7 linked regions of the Callithrix jacchus genome follow. The protein of the gene in region 1 purifies or fractionates together with the protein of each later gene. This does not show direct contact. Links are inferred from orthologs where the notes say so. Each region holds a gene or a part of one and is shown on either strand. Other genes may lie near its edges.

Region 1 (3,222 bases):
GAAAGAAGGGGAAAGGAAAAGAAAGAAAAAGGGTGAGAGAAAGAGGCCAGGCACGGTGGCCCACACCTATAATCCTAGCACTTTGGGCGGCCCAGGCGGGTGGATCACAAGGTCAGGAGTTCGAGACCAGCCTGGCCAACATGGTGAAACCCCATCTGTACTACAGATACAAAAATTAGCTGGGTGGCCAGGTGCAGTGGCTCACTCCTATAATCCTAACACTTTAGGAGGCCGAGGTGGGTAAATCAAGAGGTCAGGAGATCGAGACCATCCTGGCCAACATGGTGAAACCCTGTCTCTACTAAAATTACAAAAATTAGCTGGTGTGGTGGCACATTCCTGTAATCCCAGCTGTTCAGGAGGCTGAGGCAGGTGAATTGTTTGAATCCAGGAGGCAGAGGTTGCAGTGAGATGAGATTGTGCTACTGCACTCCAGCCTGGGCAACAGAGCGAGACTCTCAAAAAAAAAAAAAGAGAGAGAGAGAAAGAGGGAGGGAGGGAAAGGAAGGAAAGAAAGAGAGAGAGGAGAGGGAAGGGAGGGAGGGAGGGAGGGAGGGAAAGACCCAAATATAGGGGATTTTGCCAATGTTCAGTTCTTCCACTGCTGTTAGGAAAACAAGCTGCAGTTCAGCCCACCAAGCTGATTTATTTTTACCTTCTTTGATCAGAGCAGCAAACAGGATGTAGTCCATTCTCCTTGGAACTCCTATCCACAAACCATCAGATTTTGTCCATCAGTTGGGAGTTCCTATAGGGCATTGTCCAGTGATGATAGAATCCAGCAATTCCTCACATAGTTCCAGAGTCAATCCCAGGGGAAAAGAGGCTCCTTACTTGTCGCTCCTCCTTGCATTCCTCAGATAGCATGATCCTGTGTAAACATTTAAATTCTGCAGTACACAGTCCCAGTGGTTGTCGTAGAGAGGTACTCACTGGCCTTTGTCACAAAAGGCCTAGCAGCCTCCACATAGGGCTATGACACCAGGAATTTGTCTATATCAGTACTCTAGCCTTCTGCTGTACTGTTTGACTTGGGGAATCTTACTGGTTCCCATGTAGCATGTCCAGTTAAAGTTGCTTAAAGGGTAAGGTTATGTGCCTCAGTTTTACAATACTGGGTAGGCAGCAATAGATTATTTTCTGTTTATGGAGAAAGCTTGCTTTATATAGCCTTAAAAACACATGTGTTAATAGCTAAACTTTAGGTACGTGAAGGAAACAAATCTTCTAACATGTTACTTAATGTTAATTGTTTTTTTGTCTTCCTTAGGCTGACATTTTGGATGTCAATCAGATATTTAAAGATTTGGCCATGATGATCCATGACCAAGGTGATCTGATTGGTATGTATTATTGAAAGCTTTAACCTCAAGGTGAGTTGATAGTATTTGGCATGCACGTGCAATCCCAGCTACGCAGGAGGCTGAGGCTCAAGCATCACCTAGGAGTTTGAGGCCAACGTGGGCAACATAATGAGAATCTGTCTATTAAAAAAAAGTAAGAAAAGGAGTTAGTCATATCAGCTATAGAATTAAAGTGAGTTTAGGAATGCCACTTTAAAAATTACCAAATTTATTTTTCTTGGCAATTTCCTTATGTTATCAAATGTAGAAATTAAAGTGAGGTTTTGGGAATATTCAGTCCCATTGACTTGTTTCTTTGTAAGTCTTTGTTTAGAGAAATAGCTGTCAGCTTCCCAGCTTTTATCTCTACAAACTTGCAAAATTATGGGGTAACTCTATTTTTAAAGCTTTTTAAAAAGCTTTCTACATGGAAATAATTTCAAATTTATTAAAAGTTGCAAAAATAGGCTGGGCATGGTCACTCACACCTATAATCCCAGCGCTTTGGGAGGCTAAGGCAGGAGGATCACTTGAAGCCAGGAGTTCAAGACTAGCCTGGGCAATATCGTGAGACCCTGTCTTTACAAAAAAATTAGCCAGCCATAGTAACATTCACCTGTACTCCTAGCTACTCAGAAGGCTGAGGTGGGAAGATCACTTGAGTCCACGAGTTTGAAGCTATATAGTGAGCTATGATTGTGCCACTACACTGTAGCCTAGGTGATAGAGTGAGATCCTAGCTCTTAAAAAAAAAAAAAAAGTAGCAAAAATAAAAATATTACAAGGACCTTCTTTATACCCTTTACCCAGATTTACCTCCTGTTAACATTCTATCCCATTTGCTTTATTATGTATTCTTTCTCTGTCTATGAGTATATACATAATTTTTTCTGAATCATTTATGGGTGAGTTAAATAATTCCTAGCCCCCAAAAATTTGATGTTTTTTTCCCAACGAATAGGGCTAGTCTCTTATCAAGGTAGTAACTTGATTTCATGGTGGATAGTTTGGATGGTGGTAGTGAAACTAGACCCATAACATCAGAAATCTGTTCAATTTGCAGTCTTGAAACATCTGAATGTGTTAAAACATCCTCTGTCCTTCCTTTTGCAGATAGCATAGAAGCCAATGTGGAAAGCTCAGAGGTACATGTTGAAAGAGCCACTGAACAGTTACAGCGAGCTGCTTATTATCAGGTAAAAGTGGATACCAAAGAAAATCATTCTGTGTTTTAGACTTTTTAGGTTATCAGAGTACGTTGACATTATTGAGAACAGCTACAGGCTTTTGCTTATATTTACCTAAAGGAAAGTAGTCATAATTGCAGTCCCAGTTCCATTTTTAGTATTTTTCTTTGCAGATAGATCTACAAAAAATAATCAAACCCTGAATAAACCTACCAGAAGCCTCTTAACTGCAAAGCTAACCCTATAAACTAGCATGAGGCTGGGTGTGGTGGCCAACGCCTATAATCCCAGCACTTTGGGAGGCCAAGGTGGGCGAATTATGAGGTCAGGAGTTCAAGACCACCCTGACCAACATGGCGAAACCCCATCTCTACTAAAAATACAAAAAATTGGCTGGGCGTGGTGGCGCACATTCTTGAACCCAGGAGGCGGAGGTTGTTGCAGCAAGCCAAGATCCCGCCATTGCACTGCAGCCTGGGCAACAGAGCAAGACTCCATCTCAAAAAATTTTTTAAAAATAAACTAGCATGATACCTAAATATGGCATAAGGCTATTTTATGTCCTGAACAGCTGAATGTGTTTCACTTAGGATAGTAAGAAGTTAAAGTAGAAGACTTCATAGATATTTATGTTGACTGTTGCCATAGAGGATGGACATAGCAACTTTGACTGCTATTTATATATGAATAAA
Region 2 (3,958 bases), on another chromosome or scaffold:
AGGTCAAGAGATTGAGACCTTCCTGGCCAAAGTGGTGAAACCCTGTCTCTACTAAAACTATAAAAATTAGCTGGGTATGGTGGAGCACACCTGTAGTCCCAGCTACTCGGGAGGCTGAGGAAGGAGAATCACTTGAACCCAGGAGGCAGAGGTTGCAGTGAGCTGAGATCACGCTACTGCACTCCAGCCTGGGCAACACAGCCAAGACTCCGTCTCAGGAAAAAAAAAAAAAAAAACAATTAGCCAGGCATTGTGGTGGGTGCCTGTTATCCCAGCTACTTGAGAGGCTGAGGCAGGAGAATCACTTGAACCTGGGAGGCAGAGGTTGCAGTGAACTGAGATCGCACCACTGCACTTCTGTGTGGGCCACAGAGCAAGACTCCATCTCAAAAAAATAAAAAAGGAAAGGAGGGGGGAGGGGAAGGAGCAGGAGTTAGATGGAGAAGAGGAGGAGGGAGGGAGTAGGAGGAGGAGAAGGAGGAGGGGAGAGAAAGGAGAAGGAAAAGGGGGAGAAGAATGGGGGAGGGGAGAAGAAGAAAAAGAAGGAAGAAGAAGAAAGAAAGGGACCTCAGACCTCAGATGGGTCTGCAAGGCTCCTCCCTCTCAGGATCTACCCATCCTGCCCCGAAACCTGCTGTGTGGCCTGCTGTTCTTCCATGTAGCGAGATGTGGCCGAGATGGCGCTGGCATCCAGCAGGTCGCTGGGTGACTTCTGGGCAGCTGGTTTGCCCGCCAGCATCTGCAGGGACACAGAACACAGACTTGGGGAGGGACACCAACTTACAGTAGGGCGTGTGAGGCAAGGCCCTACGGTGCTGAGTCAGGGAGGCAGAGTCTGGCGTGGGACAGCCTGCAATCCTCACTCACCACCTACTAACAAGGTGACCCAGGGACCCCATTATTTGACCTCTCTGTGCCTCAGTGTATTCATCTGTAAAATGCAGAAAGCAGGTCAGGTATGGTGGCTCATGCTTGTAATCCCAGAACTTTGGCAGGTGAAGGTGGGCAGATCACCTGAGGTCAGGAGTCCAAGACCAGCCTGGCCAACGTGAAACCCTGTCTCTACTAAAAATACAAAAATTAGCAGGGTGTGGTGGTGCACTCCTATAATCCCAGCTACTCAGGAGGCTGAGGCAGGAGACTCACTTGAACCCAGGAGGCGGTGGTTGTAGTGAGCCAAGATTGAGCCACTGTACTCTCCAGCCTGGGCAAGAGAGCAAGACTCCATCTCAAAAAAAAAAAAGAGAGAGAGAGAAAGGCAGGCATGCGTCCTGGAAACAGCTGTATACAGGACAAATGGTATGGAAGCAGAAAGGAGAGGGGTACACAGGCCTCCAATCCTCCTTTGCAATAGGAAACCAGGATACAGCCAGAGGAGACAGTAGAGAGGAACCCATGGACACACACACACAGAGAGGTTCAGGTGCACACACCCAGGAAGTGCAGGCAGGTAGACAGCAAGAAGACAACTGCACACAGGATGGGCACTGTCACAGAAGGGACAGGTGAACACACGCAGAAGGATCTGGCTCGTACTCAACGGCGTGGTCACCCCCAGGTGCTCAGGAAGGCTTACCTCTCTGCTATTCCTCTCCAGAAAGGCTACGGCTGTTGGGCTGACCATATGGTCCTTCATTTCCTGGAGGTGAAGACAGCATTAGGGAGGAAAGACACTCATGCTGGGCGTGGCTCATGCCTGTAATCCCGGCACTTTGAGAGGCCAAGTTGGGTGGATCACCTGAGGTCAGGAGTTCGAGACCAGCCTTGCCAACACGGTGAAACCCCGTCTCTAACTAAAAACACAAAAAAATAGCCAGATATGGTGGCGGGCTCCTGTAGTCTCAGCTACGCAGGAGACTGAGACACAAGAATCGCTTGAATCCGGGAGATGGAAGTTGCAGTGAGTTGAGATTGTACCACTGGACTCCAGCCTGGGCGACAGAGTGAGACTCAATCTCAAAAAAAAAGAGAGAAAAGACCCCGCCTGCAGGACCTCTGCGCACCTGGACGGCCTCTCGCATCCGCTCCACGAACACCTTTCTCTCCTGCAGGTCCCCGGCCGGGAGCTTGAACTTGCCTGGGTTGGCTTCCACTATGCGTGGGCTGAGAGTCAAGGGTCAAGGCCAGAGCCAGACATCATCTCCCTCCCTAGGGGTCCAGCCCTTCCCGAGGGCGACCTCCCAGGCCCCTACCACCGCAGGGGGCTCTCCCATGCCACCCCCGCCCCAAAGCCCCAGGATATCGATGGTCTCTTCCAGGTCCTCCAGGTCCCACTCGATGCTGCGCAGGCCATTCCGCAGCTCATTGGTCGTCCAGTCCAGCTCCTCGCGTCCGACCGCCGCGCTCTCCTGCAGGAGCTCGCACCAGCGCTGGTACAGCCCGCGGGCCGTGTTCACCGCCTTCTGCACCTCGCTGCGGGCAGGGGCACGGCGGGCGCGGCTGGGGGCAGGCGGTCCTCCCGCCCGCCTCTGCCCCCGACTGCAAACCCAAACGCATGGGGGACTCCGGAGACCCCAGTATCCCCCTGCCTGCGCCTCCCACTCTGCACCCCGACGGCCCTGCCCAGCCCGCCTGGCATGCTGGGGCCAGCACCCGGGCACTGGCTGACTTGGGGACTGAGCACCCTCCGCCCGCCCCCGTCGCTGTCACTCACCCTCGGACTACAAAAAAGGGGTCTTCGAGAGACATGTCAGTCTCCCTCCCCCTCAGGCCGAACCCCCTCCAGGCCTGGGTTCGCTGGCTGGTTGCCTCGCAGCTGAGGAGAACGCGCCGCCACTCCCGCCCCCGTCACGTCACCATCGAGAGCGGGACCGCCAGGGGAGAAGGAGAGGCCTCGGAGGCCCGAAGTGCAGACACTTCCGTCCTCTCTGCAGCCATCTTGGTTTTGGGCAGAGGCAGCTTCCGGTCCATATGCTCCGCCCCTTGGCCCCCTGTGTGCCGCCCCGTAGGGGGCGGTGTCCGAGTTCTGGTTGGGCCTGTTTGGGTCCAACTTCGGAATCTCGGTTCGAGACCCAACACCTCGGATTGTTGCTGCGCAACCTCAGTTTCCCTTCCGGGCACGGGCAATGTAAATAATGATAGCCTCCCTTATTTCTGACGGTTGGGGATTATAGCTGGGGAAGGGGTTCATTCCATTCGTTGAATCTTTTCATGGACTCCCTGAGCTGGCACTTCGGAGATCGTCCCAGTCCAGGGTCCCGAGTTTCAGGTTTGGGCATGGTGTAGGGAGAGGTGGTACTCTTCTCCCTGCGGGGGCGGAGTGAGGAGGGGACTTGCTTGTGCGGGGAGTTCTGCTGCATTCTCCCAGTCTCTCTTTCCTGAGAAGTGGGGAAGTTGAGGGAACTTCGAGGTCGCCTTGGGGCGAGGTGGTCTTGAGAGGGGGTCTCAGAGATGCCAGAGGCGGGGGAAGGTCATCCTCAAGGGCGCGCGTGGTGGTGGGTTTCATTAGAAGCGCGGAGTCTTTCTGGGTTTGAGCCTGGGTGTCCCAGGAGGTGTGATGGTGGCTTTGAGGATGGTCTCCCTCTGGGTAGGGGCCAGGAGTATCAGCGAAGGGACTCATAGTGTCACCCTATGTGTGACAGTGGCGCTCTGTGTATTGGGTGGTGAGGGGAGTCTTGAGAAAGCACGTTTTGAGTGGTGGGGGGCCTGGTCTCCCCTGGAGGGTGGGCGGGTTGTCTGAGGGAGTCCTCAGAGGGTCGCCCCCTTGCGCGTCAGAGTTGTTGTGTGGGCTCTCAGAGGTAGTGCCTGGTGCCTGGGCTGGGGAAGTCACTGTGGGGGTCTCCGTGGTAAGGTTGGGGTGGGGACGGGGGCGTCTTCCTCAGGTGGCAGCTTCGTTGAATGGGGACAAGTTTAGAAAGGGTCTTTTTGGGGGGAATAATTCTTGAGTCCCCACCTGCGGGGGGAGGGCAGGACGGGAGGGTGTCCCAAGACAGATCACTGTGGGGCGGGGGACAGGGAT
Region 3 (4,031 bases), on another chromosome or scaffold:
AGGAATGGCAAGGGAAAGTAAAGTGGGCTGCTTGAAACTGACACTAGGGAGGGCATGCAATTATGAGTAAGGCCAAGGATGTGACCCTGAGAATGTGTGGCTGCTCTGGTGTGGGAAATATCACAGGAGGTGGAAGCTGAGAGGCTGTACAGGCATTGCAGGAATCATCCATGTGGATACTGACATCATCATGAATTATGAAGGGAGCCAACTGTATGACTGGTTACTATTTCTACCAGACCACTGTACGCGACCTTATGCCCCTCGACTTTCCGTTTAGAGCACTTATCACGGCTTCAAATATTAGAGCGATTATTTGGGCCGGGAGCGGATTTTTTGACAGTAATCAGGGCTTACAAGTCTGTTTCGTTTCTTGACTGACATACGATTAATACCCAAAAGGTAGAATGGATGGATAGATGAATACTATTCTAGCTGTGATACAGAGAATCTTCAGATGTAATAAGTTATAAGGCCAATTAACCCTACAAAGAAGACCCACGGTAGTTTCACATTTATGAAAAACTCCTGGTGCAAGTCTTCAAGAGGACGGGCATTTTTGCTGATTTTCTCGTGTCTAGAATAGTGCCTGACATATTAGGTGCTCTGTAAATACTGAGTGAAAGAATACGCCCCATCAGTATCTCACCGCGCCTGCGCCGGGTGCCCTGGATGGGGCCAGCCTTGACGCACCGCGCTTGCGTGATGTCTCTTTGCAGGGCGCAGCGGCCAGCTCCCAGCCCCGCTTCGCCGCAGTAGCTTGAGCCCTCCGGCCCTCCGTAGCCGCTCGGCTGTGGCACCGCACCAGCTTCCTACTCGGCGTTCCCACGCCTATTCGAGTAGATTCTCGGCGCCCGAGGAAGAGGTAGGCTCATTCTTTCTCCACGTCACAGACCTGACTGTGGAGATGGCGGCTCAGAAGATAAACGAAGGGTTGGAGCACCTCGCCAAAGCAGAGAAATAGTGAGTGAGACGCCGGGCGGGCCTGTGTGTGGACGCCCAGTCCGTCTTTCACAGGCGCGGCCTTAGCACCCGGCTGGACGAGAGGGCGGGCACGGGGCTGAGGGGGCTCGGCGCGCTGGTGCCTGCGGGGCTGCCGGGGCTTGGTGTCCCCGGGGTCGCACTCCCGGGGTTCCACTCCCAGGGTTGCGCTTCCGAGGTCAGGGTCGGGGTCAGGCCTCCAGCGCCTAGGGCAGCGCCATGGGTCCACCCAGCCGGAAGTCCGCTCCTCAGACCCGGTGTGGGCGGGGACCCGGCGCAGTGCTGCGGAGCTGGTCTCTAAAGAGGGCTTCTCTACCTGGGCGCTGAGCTTCTGAAGGCTTCTTGTGGTGGGGGCTGTTTCTGTATCCGAGGCTCGTTAGCAGCATCCCTTGCCTCTACCTGCTACGTGCCTCTCGCACCTCTTCTCCATTTATGGCAACCAAAAATGTCCTCTGGGGAGCAACATCGCCCAGTTGAGAACCACCGCCCTAGCAGAGGCCCTTGTGTGGAGAGGACCATAGATTTACCCCAAAAACTACTCGGTGAACCTTTGTCATCTGGCATTTTACTGTTCCAGTGGGCCACGACTGTGCTTCCGTCGTCCTTTGATGTGTATGTTCTGCCATTTCTGGTACAGTATGTAATAGGCACCCAGGAAATGTTCGTGGGACTGAACTGATTCTCCTTAAATCATTATTTTGGCACCCCCCAGGCTCCCCCCGCCCCCCGCCGTTTCATTACTCCAGCTCATTTTTATCTGACGGGGTTAATGAAAAGTCGGTGCTGTGTTCTATGGTGGGTGCTTCACATACGTAATTTCATAAGCTAAGATCTTCACAGTAACTGCCCAAATAGAGATTTTCATTTTTCGTAAGAGGAAATGAAGCTCATAGAAGCCTCATAATGACTTACCCCAGGGTGCGCAGGTGAAAGATGGCAGAGCCAGTTTTCAAACACTGGAAAAACTCAAACCCTTTCTATCACATGACTCGAGGCAAGCAGTGTGTAAGGTACTGGGGTTCTCCTGGTGCAGGAGGTTTCCACAACAATCTGACTTTCTAGTGGGAGCACACGTAAAAATTGAAGTAAGAATAAATAGTGTGTGGAATAGGCACCACAAAAAAGCTGTATGAACTGTGTAGGTATCATAGAGGGAGAAGTTTGTTCTGCCTGAGAAAATTTAAGGAAGAGATGATTTGTGAGCAGGGCCTGAAAAATACAGAATGTTTTAGACAGAGGGAAAATCCTGTGAAAGAGATTCTGTGCACAATCTGTAGTATGTATCATACACTGGCCTGAAAATGTGCTCTGGGAACAGTGATTGTAGTGTACTTACAGTGACGGGAAAAACTGGAGTGAAGAAGAGTTGGAGCCAAAGTGTGAAGGGTCAGCTTCTCAGATGGCTTTTGTAGGCAACTAACCAGTGGACCCGGCCAGATTTGTTTTTGGTGAAGAAAGAAATGTGGCAGCAGGCCGGGTGTGGTGGCTCTTGCCTGAAATCCCAGCACTTTGGGAGGCTGAGGCGGGTGGATCACTTGAGGTCAGGCATTCGAGACCAGCCTGGCCAACATGGTAGAACTCTGTCTCTAATAAAAATACAAAAATTAGCCTGGCATGGTGTCGTACGCCAGTAATCCCAGCTGCTCAGGAGGCTGAAGCAGGAAAATCACTTGAACCCGGGAGGCAGAGGTTGCAGTGAGTGGAGATCATGCCACTGCACTCCAACCTAGGAGACAGAGGGAGACTCCGTCTCAAAAAAAAAAAAAAGAAGAAAAGAAAAATGTGACATTAATGTAGAGAATGGACTATGGGGAGAGGGTTGGTCGGAGAATTTTGACATATTCAGTAAACATTTACAAAGTTGTCACTGTGTACCTGTACCATCCACTGAGGATACTGGAGTAACCAAAAGTGGTGCCTTCAAGACCTTAGAATTCACAGGCAGGCAGACAAGTGAACAGAGGAGTAAAAATAAGATGTTCAGTGCTAGAATGGAAGTATTCATTATGGTATGCTGGAGATATGAAGCAGGGAAAAGGTAATATGCTCAGGGTGTGAGGAATGGAAGAGGAGGAAAGGTGACTCTCCCATGAAGGTGGTGCCAGACATGTTAGCGGGTTATTGACTTCAGGGAAGAGTTGGTAATGGCCTGAATTCAAGTAACAGTGCAGGGGTAGGATTGGGTGACATTTGTCAATAGGGTTGACATGCTTTAATAACCTGCCTGCTTATAGAGACGAAGGCTTAACTCATCTCTATAAGGTTTCTAACTTGAGAGATGGAGTGGGAGAGGCCTTCAGCCAAGATAGGGGATATAGGTTAATGGGCATGATTGGTGGGTTGATCTGGGGCAGGGAGGTGGGGTGGGGAGGTGTGGGGTTCAGGCTCGTTGCTAGTTTGAAATGCTGCTAGACAGTTACTGAGTGAGTAGCAGGCAAAATGGGCCAGGAGCTTAGGAGATATTTGATTCTTCTCTGTTTTCTAATGATGATGCAGTTCAATATTGCTGAGTAATTTTGTAAATTGATTCCTGTACACAGATGGTAATGTTGCTGTTTTCCTTTTTTCTGTGGAAATTGGTTAGTTTCCTTATTGATTCTTTGGAGAAAAAGAGTGAAAAGGACTAACAGGTATAGCTATTAAACCTAAATTAGCTTTACGTCTTTCTTCCGCATTAGTGGTGTTCATGTGATTGGGATAGTTTTGCCCAGTTTTAAACTCTCTGGGTCTTTCCGTGTATAGCACATTAGGTGACTGAATGATTGTATCTGGTTTTTAGTGGGATTAAAAAAATTATGTTAATATTGATAATGTAGTGTTTGTTTTGGGATAGGAATGGAGGGTTCAAATTTTGCATATTTCCCTAATTTTGTGAATTAGAGTAGACACACCACAATTCAAGGATATTATTTTTCTGAGCAGTGAAATTCTTGGTAAGCTTGAAAAATTGCTTGTACTAATTTGAATCTTGTAACACTATATACACAAAGAAGTTTTAGATACTAAATATGTTAAATAAATAAATTTAATTGGCAAAAAATGTTACTTAA
Region 4 (3,325 bases), on another chromosome or scaffold:
GCAGTTGAAAGTTCCATGGAGGTTAATTCCTTTCACAATTCAATGTAACTGTCTCTTAAGAGGGTAAAGAAAAAAGATAACGAGATCCCAAAAGCAGTAACACACTAACCTACAAATACAAATGCAGCCAGACGTGGTGGCTCACGCCTGTAATCCCAGCACTTTGGGAGGCCAAGGCAGGCAGATCACGAGGTTAGGAGTTCTAGACCAGCCTAGCCAATGTAATGAAAACCCTGTCTCTACTAAAAAAATAAAAATACAAAAATGAGCCAGGCATGGTGGCAGGCACCTGTAATCCTAGATACTTGGGAGGCTGAGGCAGGAGAATCGCTTGAACTTGGGAGGCAGAAGTTGCAGTGAGCCGAGATTGCACTATTACACCCCAGCCCAGGTGACAGTGCAACACTCTTTCTCAAAACAAAAACAAAAAGCAAATGCCACCTCAAGAAGCTGTCCTGAAATCTGGCTGATGAAATTCAGATCTTAAGTTCCTCTGCAGTCACTGGTTGTCCAATCTGCTGGCTGTACTTGAAGGCTTCCCTTTTGGAGTAGCCATAGTGAAAGATTAGCTCAGTCTCAGGAGTCCATCCCTGGCAGCAACCTAGGAATATAATGATTCGTAAGCCTACTTAATGAATACTAAAATATCTTGTCCTTTCCAGGTTCTACTTATACGCAAAGGCCATCATTTAAATTGGCTTGATTTCTTGGAATTTTTCAACAGCCCTTAATGCCCACTGTTAATCTAGGGATATTAAAATTGTACAGAATGTACTTTTGAAAGGAAATAATCACTCTTTTCTCTTCTCAGCTGGTAAACACAAGTGAAAACTTGAGCAAAAGTCGAAAGATTCTCCGTTCAATGTCCAGAAAGTAAGTTTTTAAAAGTCATGAAATTTGTCTTAATGTCTTTCAACCAAAAAGCTTAAAATAGTGACTTACAAAAGTCCTAATAAAGCACCTCAGCAGTTGATGCCAGATAGTCCCCGTATACTCAGTGCTACCCAGCAGATCAGAAGAAATACACTAAGGAATATGGTCTTGGATAAGTAGCTCAGGATAAAATCATTTGTTAAAAGAATATACTGCTTTGACTTAGAGCAGTGAAAAATTTCTCCACTGAAAGGACATTTAATCACAGCTGATGTTCGTTAGAGAACGCAGCACGTGGGAATAACAGAGCTTCCTATTCCTTGAAATATATTTGTAAAATCTCTATTAGAAAGCAGTTTTCACTTGCATAGTACTTGTGTTTTGGCTCTGTTTGCCCTTCATGGGAGTCAGCACCTTTTCTGGAAGTTCTGTCTTGTTAGCAAGAAGTAGATTTTTAAAAATAAAACCCTTAGGGAGTTGTCAGGGTTGGTGGGCATTAACTGAGGCAAGATGCTGTAGAATCTGCTGGCACTGCCAGATTGCCCAGAGGACCTGGAGCATTGCTTCACACAGGCATTTTGAAAATGAAGCTCCAGGAAACACAAGCTGTTTCAGGAGGAGAACGGAATTCTTGGCATCTAAAGGGTGGTGGAGCTGATGACCTCCTATATAGAGCCACCATGGTTCTCAATTGGTGAAGCAGCATATGCCATGCATCATCAGTTGGCTATGGTTTCATTTCCCAAGAAACAGGATTGACCAGTCATCACAGTGACTTAATTCAGTTTCATTCAGCTCTCTATGGACTCTTAGTCTGATAAATAGCCCTTTTTGAAGATCTCTAAGCCCTTCTTTGAAGATCAATATTTGAATTGTACTAACTGCCACCAGTAAAGTAGTCTTTACCAAAAGTAAAAAACAAAACCCTTGTGCTAATAGCAACAAATCCAGGGCAGAAATATTGCCACTGAGGTTGAAATTGGGTTTAAGAGAGGATTGTGTGTGACCTTGTGTACAGGTGGCCTAGCATAAAACAAAACTACAACTCAGTCATGTAACTAGCAGGAGGGGTGAGATTTTTCTACAGTGGTAAATTCTTTGTGGAAGAGGAAGAAGCCTAGAGTGAACATGAGAACCAGAGGTTGGATTTTTAAGCTCCTGTACTACCTTTATAACATATCCATTTGGGTTGATAGGAGAGCAAAGGGAAAAATAGGGCAGAGGAATAGAAGTTTACAAGGGATTGAAAGGTATTACCCAGGCTTCTAAGTTACTTTATCCTAGGGCAGGACCCATTCTGAACAGGATGTATATTTGATTACTTTTTCTCGATAACCCCTCTTTCTAGAAAAGCTATTTTTAAAGGAAATAACTACTGTTTGAAGACATTTCAGAGTCAAGAAATCATTTTTGTGCTTTGGTTTTTATTGTCTCAGTTTAACATTACTGTGAGGTAGACAGTATTATTCCTAAGTGACAGCTAAAGAACCTTATATGTACTTCCTGCTAAGTGGCTGTGTGATCAGACAAACAGCCTCAGAGTATCCAGCCTTGGTCCCAGGTCAAACCCCAAAGTAGGTTATCCAAAATTCTGACTACTCCCCACTTTGTTTCTTTGTAGAGTGACAACCAACAAGCTGCTGCTTTCCATCATCATCTTACTGGAGCTCGCCATCCTGGGAGGCCTGGTTTACTACAAATTCTTTCGCAGCCATTGAACTTCCTATAGAAAAGGGTTTGTGGACCAGACTTTGACCTTGTGAATGCATGATGTTAGGGATGTGGATAGAATAAGCATATTGCTGCTGTGGGCTAACAGTTCAGGGGTGCACTGTGTAGCCAGACTGTGGGAGAAGGGAAGGAAAGATGGAAAGCCACTTAAATGTGAAGGAACAGCAACAAGACCAATATGATATACCAAGGTAATAAATGCTGTTTATGACTTCTTTAAATTTACATAGTACTGTAGCATATTAATACCCTGTGAACTGCAAAAAAAACCAAATACATTTATAGTAGTATTGGTCACCAAAATAGAAGGGAAACTTTACATTTGTGAGAATATGCAGATATTCTCATTAAGGCAGTATTGACCAGACAGCCATTTAGTATCTGTCCCCTCAAATGCCTCATAATTCTGGAATGCCCATTGTGAAATATGTCAGTGCACAGTATCTCCTAAATTCTCACACGTGCTTGATTTTCCGATTCATCTGGTGAACTGGGAGTAGGAAGTTGGTCATAGACAATGTGCCCTCCTTCCCTTGTCTGACCAAAACTTGAAGCAATCACATCCACTGCCAGGTTAGCTGTAGTCTTTGCCTCTTCCTCTGAGGTGGCCAACTGAGGATTGACTTCTACAAGATCCAGTGCCGACAACAACCCTGGAAGAACAAAGTGTAACAAAACCTCAGATTCCTTTGCTGCTACTCAGTGAGGGTCATCCCACTGG
Region 5 (3,959 bases), on another chromosome or scaffold:
CATAAAACCCAAAAAGGACAGGGTTCAGAGGGCTTCCTGATAACTGAACAAGTAGAGGGTTCCTGGATGGTGGCACACCTGGAGAGGGCATGGAAGCTCTGTACCCCCTGCCCTATGCACCTCTTCAATCTGGCTGTTGATCTCTATTTTTTTGTAATATCCTTTATAATAAACCAGTAAATAAAGTGTTTCTCTGAATTCTGTGAGCCACTCTAGCAAATAAATTGAAGACAAGGAATTTGGGGAACTCTGATTTATAGCCAGTTACTGGAAGCACAGGTAAAAACACCTGGAACTTGTGATGGGCACTCGAGGTGCAGAGGAATGTTGCAAGATTAAGCCCTCAACCTGCAGAATCTGATGCTATCTCTAGGTATAAAGTACCAATTGAATTAGAGGACACCCAGCTGGAGAACCTGATGCAGAATTGCCTACTTGCTCATGAGGAGAAATCTTTTTGGGGTCAGAGGAGTATTCTCTGTTGAGAGAGACTAGGAGAAATTCAGTTTTTCTTTCATCAAAACAACTGGATTAAACAAAGCTAGTTTTCTTTACTACAGAATGACTCAAATCCTCTTACATGCTAAATGCATTGTGACTTTCTAGGAAAATGCTTGCATATGCAACATATTAAAATTTTTTTTAAGAAAAAGTTGTTCTATGCAAATAATGAATTTTCAGTATTTTGGACTAGATGGTAGATGAATACCCAGCAATTAAGGATAGCTCAGAAATACTGAATGTTTTACTATATGCTAGGCACTGTGCTCAGTGATACACATGCATTTTCTTTTAGTCTTTATGATGCTTCTTTGAAGTAGGCACTAAGAAACTAGTAGAAAACTAAAGTTTAGTAACGATAATGTTAGTCACTACACTCATTGAAACGGCAGAGATACAGGCCTAAATCAATCAATGGCAATCCATTATCAGTTTTAATTATTTGTTCAATTAGTTGCCCATCAGGTTTACAGAATTCTGTTCTAGAGAGACTCATTTTCCGGTAACAACCCAATAGTCCTGTTTCCTTGCCCACAAGAAGCAGCATTTAGACCTTTAAATTACGTAAAATTAGACATCAGAAAGAATAACCCCAAAGTCTGGTTTCCTAAACCAAATAAAAGTAATATTTTAAGTTAGCTACTTGTCAAAACAAATGGACACAAACACTCTTCTTTGATAAGAAATGCTTCCAAATCAGAAATTATTCACTTGTAACAAAAAACAAACTCTTGCTGCCTAACAGCTCTTGAGTTCTTGGTTCCACAGTATTTGTCACATACATCTGGCCCTTTTATTCCTCACACTTTGATTTCAGAATAATTCATTTATGCAGAAATGTAACAGAATGCATGGAAAAAACAGATGACAAAGCAAATTACTGAAGAACTTGTGCTTTTAACTATATCTGTATTTAGATTTTAACCCCATGCATAGAGGCTGCCTCAACACCCCAAAGCAAACAACAGGCAGACTTACATAATGCGTTTATGAGACATATAGTAAAACTACAATCTTAAGGATGGGCAAACCTCATATTCAGGTCTCTCAATCCCAAGAAACCATGTCCAACAGATAGAAAACCCATCCGCAAAGCAGTAGACAGATTAATTAGCTACCTTGATGAAATCTGATGTTATTTGCAACTACTGATTATTTATTAGTATCTGATGATACGGGTATCCAACAACTAGTAGAAGTAAATAATGCTCAGAAAGGAGACTAGGATAGAGTCTGCTTAAGATTTCCCCTACAAAAAACATACGTGAATTCAGGTGTTGGTGACTAGGAATACATGTAAATAAGAGAGCCATCATGTACTTCCACATTGAGGACAGACCACCACTATACAATTCACTTACACAGTCACATCACCGTATGCTTCTTATGCATCAGCATATACTTAAACGTTTATGTATGAATTTTTGTAAGCAGTACGTTATTTAGTCAATAGCTTTGAATCTGGGCAGAGGCTCTCCTTTTCCCAGCCTCCATTCCCTTTTTAACTCCTCTTCCTTGTCTGTCATCAGCGTCTTGCTCGATGCAGTTTCATAGAAATAAAGTAACTTGGATGGACACAGACCAAAGATGTTATTAGCAAAACCTGTCAAGTGTAACGATTCACCCCCACCTTCTGGTCATTACAAACACAGCAGGGTTGGCGCTCTTTCTCCCGAGCCCTTTAAATACACAATTCGAAGCAGCTCTGCTCACCCCCCAACACCCAATCTGTCGCACCAGGCCACGTCCCTCGAAGTATCTGCTCCTAACGTTGGCCCTTCCTGCCCCATGGTACTCCCTGGCATTCCTGACTGCCTCCCACTCTTAACAAACCTTCCCCATCCATGGCACTGTTCTCTCCCCATCGCCCCAGAGTACCCCTCAATTCCAATTCTTCTCCCCTCAACTACTCCCCGTCCGCACACCCCTGTCCTCGTCTTCCTTCCTCACGGTACCCCCGGCCCCAGCTTTTTCCCACTCTGGGGTCCCTTCCTAGATCCCCGAGGCCGGCTAACCAGCCCAACTCGGACGTCGAGGGGCGGCGAGGCAGGGGCGTCATCTTCATTTCCTCCCTCCTCACAGCAGCCCCTCCGGCTGGGAACAGGCCAGCGCCAGTACCTGAGGCTCCCGGGGAACTCCCGGCAGCTCTCCCGGGCGGGCGGTGCTGGACGGGCGGGGGAAGGAGTGGGAAGCTGAGGTAAAAAGCTGGGAGTGGGGGGACGGTGGGTGCGGATCCGGCGTCGGCCGCAGCTCCGCAGCAGCGCCTCCGCTCACCGAGCCGATCGGCGCTCGGCGGCCTGGCGCCAGGCGGAGGGGGCGGGTCCAGGGCGCGGAGATAGTCGAGGAAGTCGATTCCGCCGGGCGCTCTTCACCTGGAAGAGCCCTGACCCTCAAGGATTTTAGATGCAGCTCCTCCCTGTGCTTTAGGGGATGAGTGACCACTGGTTCTCCAGGTTCCGGTCGGGATCCGGCGTGCGTGGAGGGCGTTTATGGGAGGGATGGGAAACTCAGAACTGCTCGGGTCGGGGTGCTGGCTGGGGTGATAAGGCGTTTACAAAGAAGGTAGTGCTTTGTGCCAGATCCGTCCCTCGGGCTGACTACGTTGGGTGGCAAGAGGAGGGTGGCTTGCGGCTCGAGGACCTGCTTCTGTTTCGTCTGGGGCCTTTTCTGAAGAAAGAAGTTCTGTTTGATCCCCTGTTTGCAGAATTAGAGCTGGACTTGGAAAGAGATTTTAATGGTTCCTAGGTCAGCCTCCTTTCTTTAGGTAGGAGAAATATCTGGTTCAGAGAGGAGATTGACTTAAAGTTACACAGCTAGTTTAGATAGATAAGGGACGGCGGCTCCGTGTTCTTTTCCCGGTATCCGTTAGTTGTAACCTGAAAGCCTTCAGGTTTCAGGGAAATCGCCCTTGCCTGGCCATTCCGCTGCTCTGCCCATGCTTCCCTCACTCCTTCCTCCTCCGCCCAGTTTGGTATCATATTTAGATCTCCAAGCCCACAGATGCTGGCTACCAAAAACAATTCCTAATTTTGTTTTTCCGTTCTCTTATTTATTATCCATTCCTCCCACGCCCCAGCTGGAGTATTTTACTCATTCAATCATATATCCACTATACATCTTTTAACATTAATACAGTATTTATGGGTCCTTTGTTGATATAGTATTTTAACTGTCTGAAATACCGTGCCAGGCTCTCTCCAAAGACAAAAATAAGGGCGTGTTCAGAAACAAAAGTAGACCAGAAAACAGCAGAAGATCTGAGGACACTAAAGGAAGAAATAGACACCTTCATAAAAAAGTTGCTCTTCGTTTGATGTGTAATTTTATGCAAACATGCACTAACGAATTTGAAAGATGCCATGACTAGGGCAATGATACTCAATGCTAAGTGATTCACTTGGAGTTGAATCACCTGGAAAGCTTTTAAAACCACTGTGGGTGGGGGGGCGGTGGGGAAC
Region 6 (3,500 bases), on another chromosome or scaffold:
TCATAGAGGTGGGGCTGGAGACCTGGAGAGGGTCGTGGCCAGGGAGCCAGGGGCAGTGACTCACAGCAGGGCGCCTCTCGGCCCATGGCCAGGTCTAACTAACGTTTTTGTAAGTGAGGTCCTGTGGGGCAGTGGACCCCATGTCGGTGTCTTGTGGCCACTTTCACTCCACCCTGGCAGAGCTGTGTAGTTGTGGAGAGTGGAGACTGTGCGTGGTCCTTCATGGAGAATGTGCAGTGCCTGGCGTGGGAAGGCCAGGGAGATCTCGGGGCTGAGAGAGAGAGGGTGGGATCAGGGCCCCTGAAGGAGGGTCTGGCCTTGGAGGTGAAGATGGATTGCGTTCCCCCGTGGCCTCCGTATGGGGCCAGGTGTGTCACTGGGTGGGGGAATGGCTGTCCCTCATGGGAGCAGTGTCCAAAATTGGGATGCTTCTGATGTTCCGTGGGGTGTCCTTGCTTCTGTCCTCGCGCTTCATCTCTGTTTACTTAGGTTTTCTGGGAAGGAAGTCCTGGAAACCTGCGGCTGGAAAAGTGTGGTCACAAGTTTCTCCTCTGGCTTCTTCCTGGGTTGTTGGCAACTTGAATACTTTTTTTTAATGTTTATTGTTTAAAATGTGCTAACGAGAAGAGCCTTGGTTCTTCATGTCCTAATTTCTCGGTCCTTTCCCCCTTCTTTCTTTCTTTCTTTTTTTTTTTTGAGACAGAGTCTCATTCTGTTGCCAGGTGACAGGCTGGAGTGCAATGGCGCTGTCCCGGCTCACTGCAACCTCTGCCTCCTGGGTAGCTGGGACTACAGGTGCACATCAGCATACCCAGCTAATTTTTATATTTTTAGTAGAGACAGGGTTTCACCATGTTGGCCAGGATGGTCTGCATCTCTTGACCTCGTGATCTGCCCGCCTTGGCCTCCCAAAGTGCTGGGATTACAGGGGTGAGCCATCATGCCTGGCCTCCCCTTCTTTCTTTTTTTTGAAGAGACAGAATTTCACTCTGTTGCTCAGGCTGGAGTGCAGTGGTTCAATCACAACTCACTGTAGCCTCAACCTCCCAGGCTCAGTGATCCTCCTGCCTCAGCCTCCCGAGTAGCTGGGACCACAGCACCCCCAACTTTCTTTTTGAATTCAGAACATTTCATAGCTGGTGACCTTAGGCCTTTTACTTACTTTAGTGGTGGGTCCACAGGTCCAGAAGGTGAGGCGATCTTTCCAGAACTGTATACTGTGCTGCCACACCAGCCACAGGGCTCTTCAGGGAGCTTGTGCATAGTTTTACTCCGTTCTCCTGGAGTACCTCCCAGCCATGCCTGCTGAGCAGTGGTTAGCACAGCCTCACTGCCCACGCCGTGTCTGGCTCTCTGTGGAGGTAGTGGTGGTGAGGTGCGGTCCCTCCCCTCGAAGGCCAGGTGTGGCGGAGGTCTGGGCAGCCTCTTCAGCTGGGAGCACAGGCACAGCAACTCTAGGGCTGAGCAAGGAGGGCTGCGGCCCCTCCTGTAGCTACTGGCTTGCCTGACTTTGAGAACCAGGACTGAGTTAGTGTAGTTTATCCTCCTCCTAATTCTGAGAAGCAGATGCCTTTGTGTCCCTGTAGTCTGGGGTCTGCTGGGTGGCCTTGAAGTCGTTGTGGCAGAAAAACATCCATCATGGGTCCTGTGTGCAGCGTGCTGGGCCCTTGCCATTGCCTTGGTGGGGAGTGGGTGGCCCTGGACAGGGCGGGTCCTGTGTGCGGCCCACTGGGCCCTGGCTGTGGTGCTGGGGGTGTAAGTAGGTTGGCCGTGGTACCCTCCATGTGCTGAGTGCTGTGCCCCAGAGGGAGGGTGGACTTGGGCTGGTGTGGGAGAAGCTGGGTGGGGGCTCTTCCGTTGGCCACACGGGCAGTCTGTGGACTGGGGAGACTAGCCAGGCAGCCCCCACCGTCCAGTCACGCCTCCTTCCCTGTGGTCTGCATGTGACGACACATGGTGTGTTCTCCGATGGCTGTGTCCTCATAGAATGAGGGTCCCATTTGAGGCAAGCTCTTCAGGTGCAGGTGTGGCATTTCCTGTCCATATGTCTCGTCCAGCCCTGTGTTGCGGGACATGGTGTGTTGTGCAGCAATTACAGGGAAGACCTGGCTTCTGCAAGTACAACCGTGGTGAGCTGCAGGAGCCAGGGACTGGATCAGGGTGGCTGGTGCCCAGCAGGACATTTGACACATGGAGGGACTCATGAACATGTTGCCAGAATGTGGAGGCCCCCACAGCCTCTCTCTGTGCTGTGGAAAGCCCACACTTTTCAGTATCTGAAGGGCTTACACTGGCTGGCTGTCCTGGTTGTGTAAGTGAAGCCAGGTTGCAGTGAAATTCTGTGAGAGAGAGGTGGGACAACTGCCACCCTCCTGTGGTCCCCTCTCTGCTGTCAGAACCTTGGTGAGGCATCCCCGGCCTGGCTCTGGCCTGGCAGAGTCCTGCGCTCGTGTCTGGATCTCGCACAAGGCCCTCGCGTTTTCTCAACCTTATCTGTACGGCGAGAAGGTTGGGCTGCGTGTTCCATGAGGGTTCATTCAAATCTGTCATTCATGACTTTCCAGACTGGACTGATAAATGTAGATGTGAAAACATGGTAGGACCTGCAGCTGTGTCAAACTGTACACGCAGTCAGCTAATGCACATACGTGTTACCAGTCAGGTCTGTGGAGTGCTGTGTGGTTAGCTGGGGTTAGGAGAAAGGGAAACGCTTGTCTGCAGGATTGTTTCTCTGTGCAGCAAAGTTGATGAATGGCAGTTTCCAAAGGGGAATGAGCATCTAAAGGGAACATCATGGCCAAAAGACAGCACTCCTTGGAACGGTCTGAGAGTAAGGCCTGGGACTGAGGTCCGAGGCCCAGGGCCCTGGCAACGTCTCTAGCGATGCCCTCCTCAGGTCTCATCCAGCAGTGGACGCTGATCCAAGCAGGGTGGCTTTGCTGGGTGCAGGGGCACAGGGTGGTGAGGGGGATGACGGTGTGAACCCTCTGCTTAGGGGATGGGCATGAGTCTGGGGCTCAGGGTCCTGGTTCCAAACCAGCCCTCTTGTTCTGGCTGCTCCTCCTTCACCAGCTAAGAGGGCACATGAGCTTCGTCCTGCAGCCACAGGTGGGTAGAGTTAGCCGTGTGCTGCAGCCTGTGTGAGCCCAGAGCCGCAGGGGAGGTGGCATCCTTGTTGGGTTGCTTGTGTCTCCAGTCCATGGATGACAGCACAGCGTCACTGTCTCTTCTCCTTCAGAGGCAGAAGAGGCCTGGACCTCGGCTCAGGCAGACCCAGGAACAGATGAGCAGGGATGTCTGCATCCACACCTGGCCATGTACCTACTACCTGGAGCCAGAGAGGCGATGGGTTACTGGCCAGCTGTCCTTAACGTCACTGTCGCTCCGGTTCATGACTGACAGCACTGGAGAGACTCTGGTCAGCTTCCCCCTCTCCAGCATAGTCGAGATCAAGAAGGAGGCTTCGCATTTTATCTTCAGCTCCATCACTGTCCTGGAGA
Region 7 (4,026 bases), on another chromosome or scaffold:
AAGGGATAGTCAGTAGGGAAAGTTCTTGAAAGGGTAAGAATAGCAGCAGTTTCGAGGCAGTTCAAAGCACTGGTGAGAGGAGTGGTTTTGGAAGAAGTGAGGGAGGGAGAAAGAGAGAGAGTGAAGATACTTCCTTCCCCAATTATGAGAGGAAGAATGTGTCTGTTTGTATGTTTAGTAAAAGGAAGTTAAAGTTCTCATTTGATGACCTGTTTTCTCTGTGAGGTTGGAGATAGGATCATCTGACAGAAAAGGAGATAGTATTGGGAGTTTAAAGGAAAGTTGAGAAGATTTGGAATATTGTAGAAAGTAATACAAGAAATGGATAGAAAAACATTGTAGGACTGGTAAGCAGTACTGAGGGCCTTTTTAATATGGGCAAAAATGAACTCACCATTTTCTCCCTTCCTGTGTAGCTTTCTCAAGCAGTAGTCACTTTTCAAGGGCAGAGGTGGAGAAAATGCACAGTTGAGTTCATTTAGGGTTGGGATGGTCATTGATAATAATTCCATGGTTCTCAACCAGGGACACTTTTGTCCTCCAGAGGATATTTAGCAATGTCTGTGATAACAGGGAAATGGGGGGTGGATACTACTGGCATCTTGTCCAGTGATGCTGCTAAACATACACACACACACACACATACACACACACACACACAGAGAGAGAGAGAGAGAGAGAGAGAGAGACAGACAGAGAGAGAAAGAGAGACAGGGTCTTGCTCAGACTGGAGGGCAGTGGTGTGATGTTGGCTCACTGCAACCTCTACCTCTGCAGCTCAGATCCTCCCACCTCAGCCTCCCAAGTAGCTGGGAGTACAGGTGTGTACTACCACACCCGGCTAACTTTCATATTTTTTGTAGAGATGAGGTTTCACCATGTCACTTATGCTGGTCTCAAACTCCTGGACTCAAGCGATCTGTCTGCCTTGACCTCCCAAAGTTCTAGGATTACATATGTGAGCTAGTGCTCCCGATCTGCTGCTAAACATCTTATAATGCACATAATACCCTTGACAACAAAAAAGTATATGTTCCAAAAATGTCAGTAATCCCAAAGTTGACAAACACTAAAGTAGCTTACCTTAATAATCACCAATATCTGACTGTGGTCTTCTAAAGGCTTTTCCTTGAACGATGGGCCAGAGTTTACAGGGCAAAATAGTTCTTCCATTGCATGCCTTTGAAGGAGAGTAAAATGAGCAGCATACCATAGCCCTTGAGTGTTTCAAGGACTTGTGATGTCACAAACACAGAACTGGAAGTTTCCTGAACCTCTAGAAGCAAATCTGGATATACATAGAGATGAATGTAACTGCTCACTTTTATTTGAGGCATTGACGGTCTGGTTAAACAGAGATGTTATAATCTCAATAATATAAGAGGAACACTTCACATAATGATCAACCTTAATGTCATTTCCTTTATCTGATTAGTCTCAGTCACTAAAATTACGGCTCTGAGGGAATGGGTATGAGCTAAGTTTAATAATAAATATAGGCGGCTGGGCACAGTGGCTCACATCTGTAATCCCAGGACTTTGGGAGGCCGGGGCGGGCAGATCACTTGAGGTCAGGAATTTGAGACCAGCCTGGCCAACATGGCGAAACCCCATCTCTACTAAAAATACAAAAATTATCTGGACATGGTGGTGTATGTCTGTAATTCCAGCTACTTGAGAGGCTGAGGCAGGAGAACTGCTTGAACCCGGAAGGCAGAGGTTGCAGAGAACCAAGATAGTGCCACTGCACTCCAGCCTGGATGACAGAGTGAGACTTCGTCTCAGTAATAATAATAAATGTAGGCTGGGCGCAGTGGGTGACACCTGTAATCCAGCACTTTGGAAGGCTGTTCACTTGAGCCCAGGAGTTTGAGACTAGCCTGGGCAAGATGGTGAAACCCGTTTCTACCTAAAAAAAAAAAAATTATAAATACCTTAGGCATGAGTAAGAATAAAACCAGTTATAATGGAATGTCTGCTCTGTGATAGGCAGCATTCATGGATAAAACACTTGACCTATGTTATTTAATTTTAGCAACACCCTGTGAGATAACATTGTCTTAATTTTAGGGTTTTTTGTTTGTTTTTTTTTTTTTGAGACCGAGTCATGATCTGTTGCCAGGCTAGAGTGCAGTGACGTCATTTCGGCTCACTGCAACCTCTGCCTCCCGGGTTCAAGCGATTCTTCTGCCTCAGCCTCCTGAGTAGCTGGGACTACAGGCGCCCGCTACCATACCAGGCTATTTTTTTTTTTTTTTTTTTAAGTAGAGAAGGGGTTTCACCATGTTGGCCAAGATGGTCTCCATCTCCTGACCCACCCACCTCGGCCTCCCAAAGTGTTGAGATTACAGGCATGAGCCACCGTGACTGGCCCAACATTATCCTAATTTTAACTCAAGATCTTGAGGTTCCAAGAAAAATTTTAATTTACCCAAAGTCGTAAATTATTAGTAGCTAGTCCGAGATCTGAAACTCGGGCAGGTCTGTCCTAAAAGCTCTTGCACCTCCCATTAAATTTTAGTAAATTTTACAAGGAAGGAGTTATTTCAAATTTTAGCCTGAACAGTTGCCACTGACTAAAGGAAATGGCGGGACACCAAGGAAGGAGCTAGAGGGAGGCCGGGAAAGAACAAGGAGAAATAAAGAAAATGAAAAAGGGACCAGGGAGACTGTTCATAGCGTCCAATGCTGCGGACCGACTCTCCCGCAAGCTGACCTGCCTTTGTTCTTCCTCCATTCTTTTTGAGAAAAACCTCTTCCTGTGTGTCCGTTGTTCACTCTCTTGTGTTCAAATAAAGCTAGATTATTGAGAACGGCTGCAGGCAAAGGAAAAAAAAGAGCGTGACGGCCTCGCTGTGCGCCTGCGCGCTGGCGGCGGCTGTGGCAGGGCCCGGCGGGGAGCGGGTCCGGAGCAGGCTCCCGGACCCAAAACTGAAGGGGGGAGTCTGGGGCGTCAGGGAGCTCCCTCGCCTGTCTCTCGGCGGCCTGATGGAGTAAGAGGGGTTGGCTGTGAATGTGAGTATCGATGGGCCGGCCTGCGTTGAGCGTATTGGAGCCCAAGGGTCCTGGTGGTCTGTCCCTTAGGGAGATTGTGTGGCTGCAAGACGCGGCCCGCTTTCTGCTCCGGCAGGCTGCGGCGCAGGGGTAACCCAGCGGTCCACTCTCCCAGAGCCGGCGCGGGATTACAGGCAGGCGGTGCTGCTGGCTTCGGGGTACGGATTTTCGTGGGGGCGTTCCAGCTCTGCTCCCAGCCCCAGAAGGAAATGTGGCTCCAAAGCCTTGACCTTTAGGGGAAGCCGCTGACCTTCGGTCCTCAGTTGGGCAGGGAGTCCAAAAGACCCTGGTGCTTAAAGCCGGTAGTCTCAGGTCCCGCGACACATTTCAACCTCTCGCGACTGACAACCTTCGTTCCTTTTTCTCCTTTCCTTTCTCTCCGTGTGTGATGTATCTTAATAATGGCAACTAATTATGGAGCGGTTACTGTGTTCATTTAATATTTAGTCAGAATCTCGGTTTATAGTTATGGAGAGGAAACGCTTTACACCCTCCTCCCATTTCAGTTTGTTGTTTAATCATCTTTGAGAGTAAGATTTGTTGAGAAGTTCGAGATTCGCTTTTAGCAACTTGAGACTGCCATTCTAGGTCAGGGAAGTTCTCTTGCTTAGCAAACAAGTGCTGTATCCACCGTAATGGTTTATATCCAGCCTATTCAAACCACAAATAACTTTTGAGTACTTACTAAGAGTTTAGTACTGTTGTAAATCCCATGGGAAACCTTAAAATTTGCTTTAAGGGCCGGGCGCGGTGACTCATGCCTGCGATCTTTGGGAGGCCTAGGCGGGTGGATCACGAGGTCAAGGAGTTCAAGACCAGCCTGACCAAGACGGTGAAACCCCGTCTGTACTAAAAATACAAAAAATTAGCCGGGCTTGGTGGTGGGCGCCTGTAATCCCAGGACTCTGGAGGCTGAGGCAGAGAATCGGTTGAGCCCCAGGAAGCGGAGGTTGCAGTGAGCCGAGACCGCGC

Evidence for each region.
Region 2: the proteins of STX12 (region 1) and STX10 purify together in Homo sapiens (affinity purification with mass spectrometry; 3 studies listed by BioGRID and IntAct, counting the BioPlex papers as one, with this or other methods). This does not show direct contact. The link is inferred for Callithrix jacchus from reciprocal best matches to the Homo sapiens genes STX12 and STX10.
Region 3: the proteins of STX12 (region 1) and NAPG purify together in Homo sapiens (affinity purification with mass spectrometry; 3 studies listed by BioGRID and IntAct, counting the BioPlex papers as one, with this or other methods). This does not show direct contact. The link is inferred for Callithrix jacchus from reciprocal best matches to the Homo sapiens genes STX12 and NAPG.
Region 4: the proteins of STX12 (region 1) and VTI1B purify together in Homo sapiens (affinity purification with mass spectrometry; 3 studies listed by BioGRID and IntAct, counting the BioPlex papers as one, with this or other methods). This does not show direct contact. The link is inferred for Callithrix jacchus from reciprocal best matches to the Homo sapiens genes STX12 and VTI1B.
Region 5: the proteins of STX12 (region 1) and VAMP4 purify together in Homo sapiens (affinity purification with mass spectrometry; 3 studies listed by BioGRID and IntAct, counting the BioPlex papers as one, with this or other methods). This does not show direct contact. The link is inferred for Callithrix jacchus from reciprocal best matches to the Homo sapiens genes STX12 and VAMP4.
Region 6: the proteins of STX12 (region 1) and SNAP47 purify together in Homo sapiens (co-immunoprecipitation; 3 studies listed by BioGRID and IntAct, counting the BioPlex papers as one, with this or other methods). This does not show direct contact. The link is inferred for Callithrix jacchus from reciprocal best matches to the Homo sapiens genes STX12 and SNAP47.
Region 7: the proteins of STX12 (region 1) and SNAP23 purify together in Homo sapiens (affinity purification with mass spectrometry; 3 studies listed by BioGRID and IntAct, counting the BioPlex papers as one, with this or other methods). This does not show direct contact. The link is inferred for Callithrix jacchus from reciprocal best matches to the Homo sapiens genes STX12 and SNAP23.

The regions. Positions count from the first base shown.
Region 1 is NC_133508.1:64,484,230-64,487,451, forward strand, and holds part of STX12 (syntaxin-12), read left to right. Parts: intron 1-1,270; coding exon 1,271-1,343; intron 1,344-2,456; coding exon 2,457-2,539; intron 2,540-3,222. UniProt on the Homo sapiens protein: SNARE promoting fusion of transport vesicles with target membranes. Together with SNARE STX6, promotes movement of vesicles from endosomes to the cell membrane, and may therefore function in the endocytic recycling pathway.
Region 2 is NC_133523.1:11,969,157-11,973,114, forward strand, and holds the start of STX10 (syntaxin-10), read right to left. Parts: upstream 2,801-3,958; 5' UTR 2,689-2,800; coding exon 2,654-2,688; intron 2,413-2,653; coding exon 2,243-2,412; intron 2,099-2,242; coding exon 2,004-2,098; intron 1,640-2,003; coding exon 1,577-1,639; intron 740-1,576; coding exon 632-739; intron 1-631. UniProt on the Homo sapiens protein: SNARE involved in vesicular transport from the late endosomes to the trans-Golgi network.
Region 3 is NC_133514.1:52,336,881-52,340,911, reverse strand, and holds the start of NAPG (gamma-soluble NSF attachment protein), read left to right. Parts: upstream 1-1,231; 5' UTR 1,232-1,426; coding exon 1,427-1,593; intron 1,594-4,031. UniProt on the Homo sapiens protein: Required for vesicular transport between the endoplasmic reticulum and the Golgi apparatus.
Region 4 is NC_133509.1:102,650,717-102,654,041, reverse strand, and holds the end of VTI1B (vesicle transport through interaction with t-SNAREs homolog 1B), read left to right. Parts: intron 1-811; coding exon 812-873; intron 874-2,280; exon of another isoform or gene 2,281-2,494; coding exon 2,495-2,591; 3' UTR 2,592-2,825; downstream 2,826-3,325. Other genes in the region: ARG2 (arginase-2, mitochondrial), read right to left, coding at 3,052-3,257. UniProt on the Homo sapiens protein: V-SNARE that mediates vesicle transport pathways through interactions with t-SNAREs on the target membrane. These interactions are proposed to mediate aspects of the specificity of vesicle trafficking and to promote fusion of the lipid bilayers.
Region 5 is NC_133519.1:30,968,479-30,972,437, reverse strand, and holds the start of VAMP4 (vesicle-associated membrane protein 4), read right to left. Parts: upstream 2,801-3,959; 5' UTR 2,620-2,800; intron 1-2,619. UniProt on the Homo sapiens protein: Involved in the pathway that functions to remove an inhibitor (probably synaptotagmin-4) of calcium-triggered exocytosis during the maturation of secretory granules.
Region 6 is NC_133520.1:38,626,444-38,629,943, forward strand, and holds part of SNAP47 (synaptosomal-associated protein 47), read left to right. Parts: intron 1-2,995; coding exon 2,996-3,108; intron 3,109-3,238; coding exon 3,239-3,500. UniProt on the Homo sapiens protein: Plays a role in intracellular membrane fusion.
Region 7 is NC_133509.1:30,176,359-30,180,384, reverse strand, and holds the start of SNAP23 (synaptosomal-associated protein 23), read right to left. Parts: upstream 2,801-4,026; 5' UTR 2,717-2,800; intron 1,289-2,716; exon of another isoform or gene 1,181-1,288; 5' UTR 1,084-1,180; intron 562-1,083; exon of another isoform or gene 436-561; 5' UTR 395-435; intron 1-394. UniProt on the Homo sapiens protein: Essential component of the high affinity receptor for the general membrane fusion machinery and an important regulator of transport vesicle docking and fusion.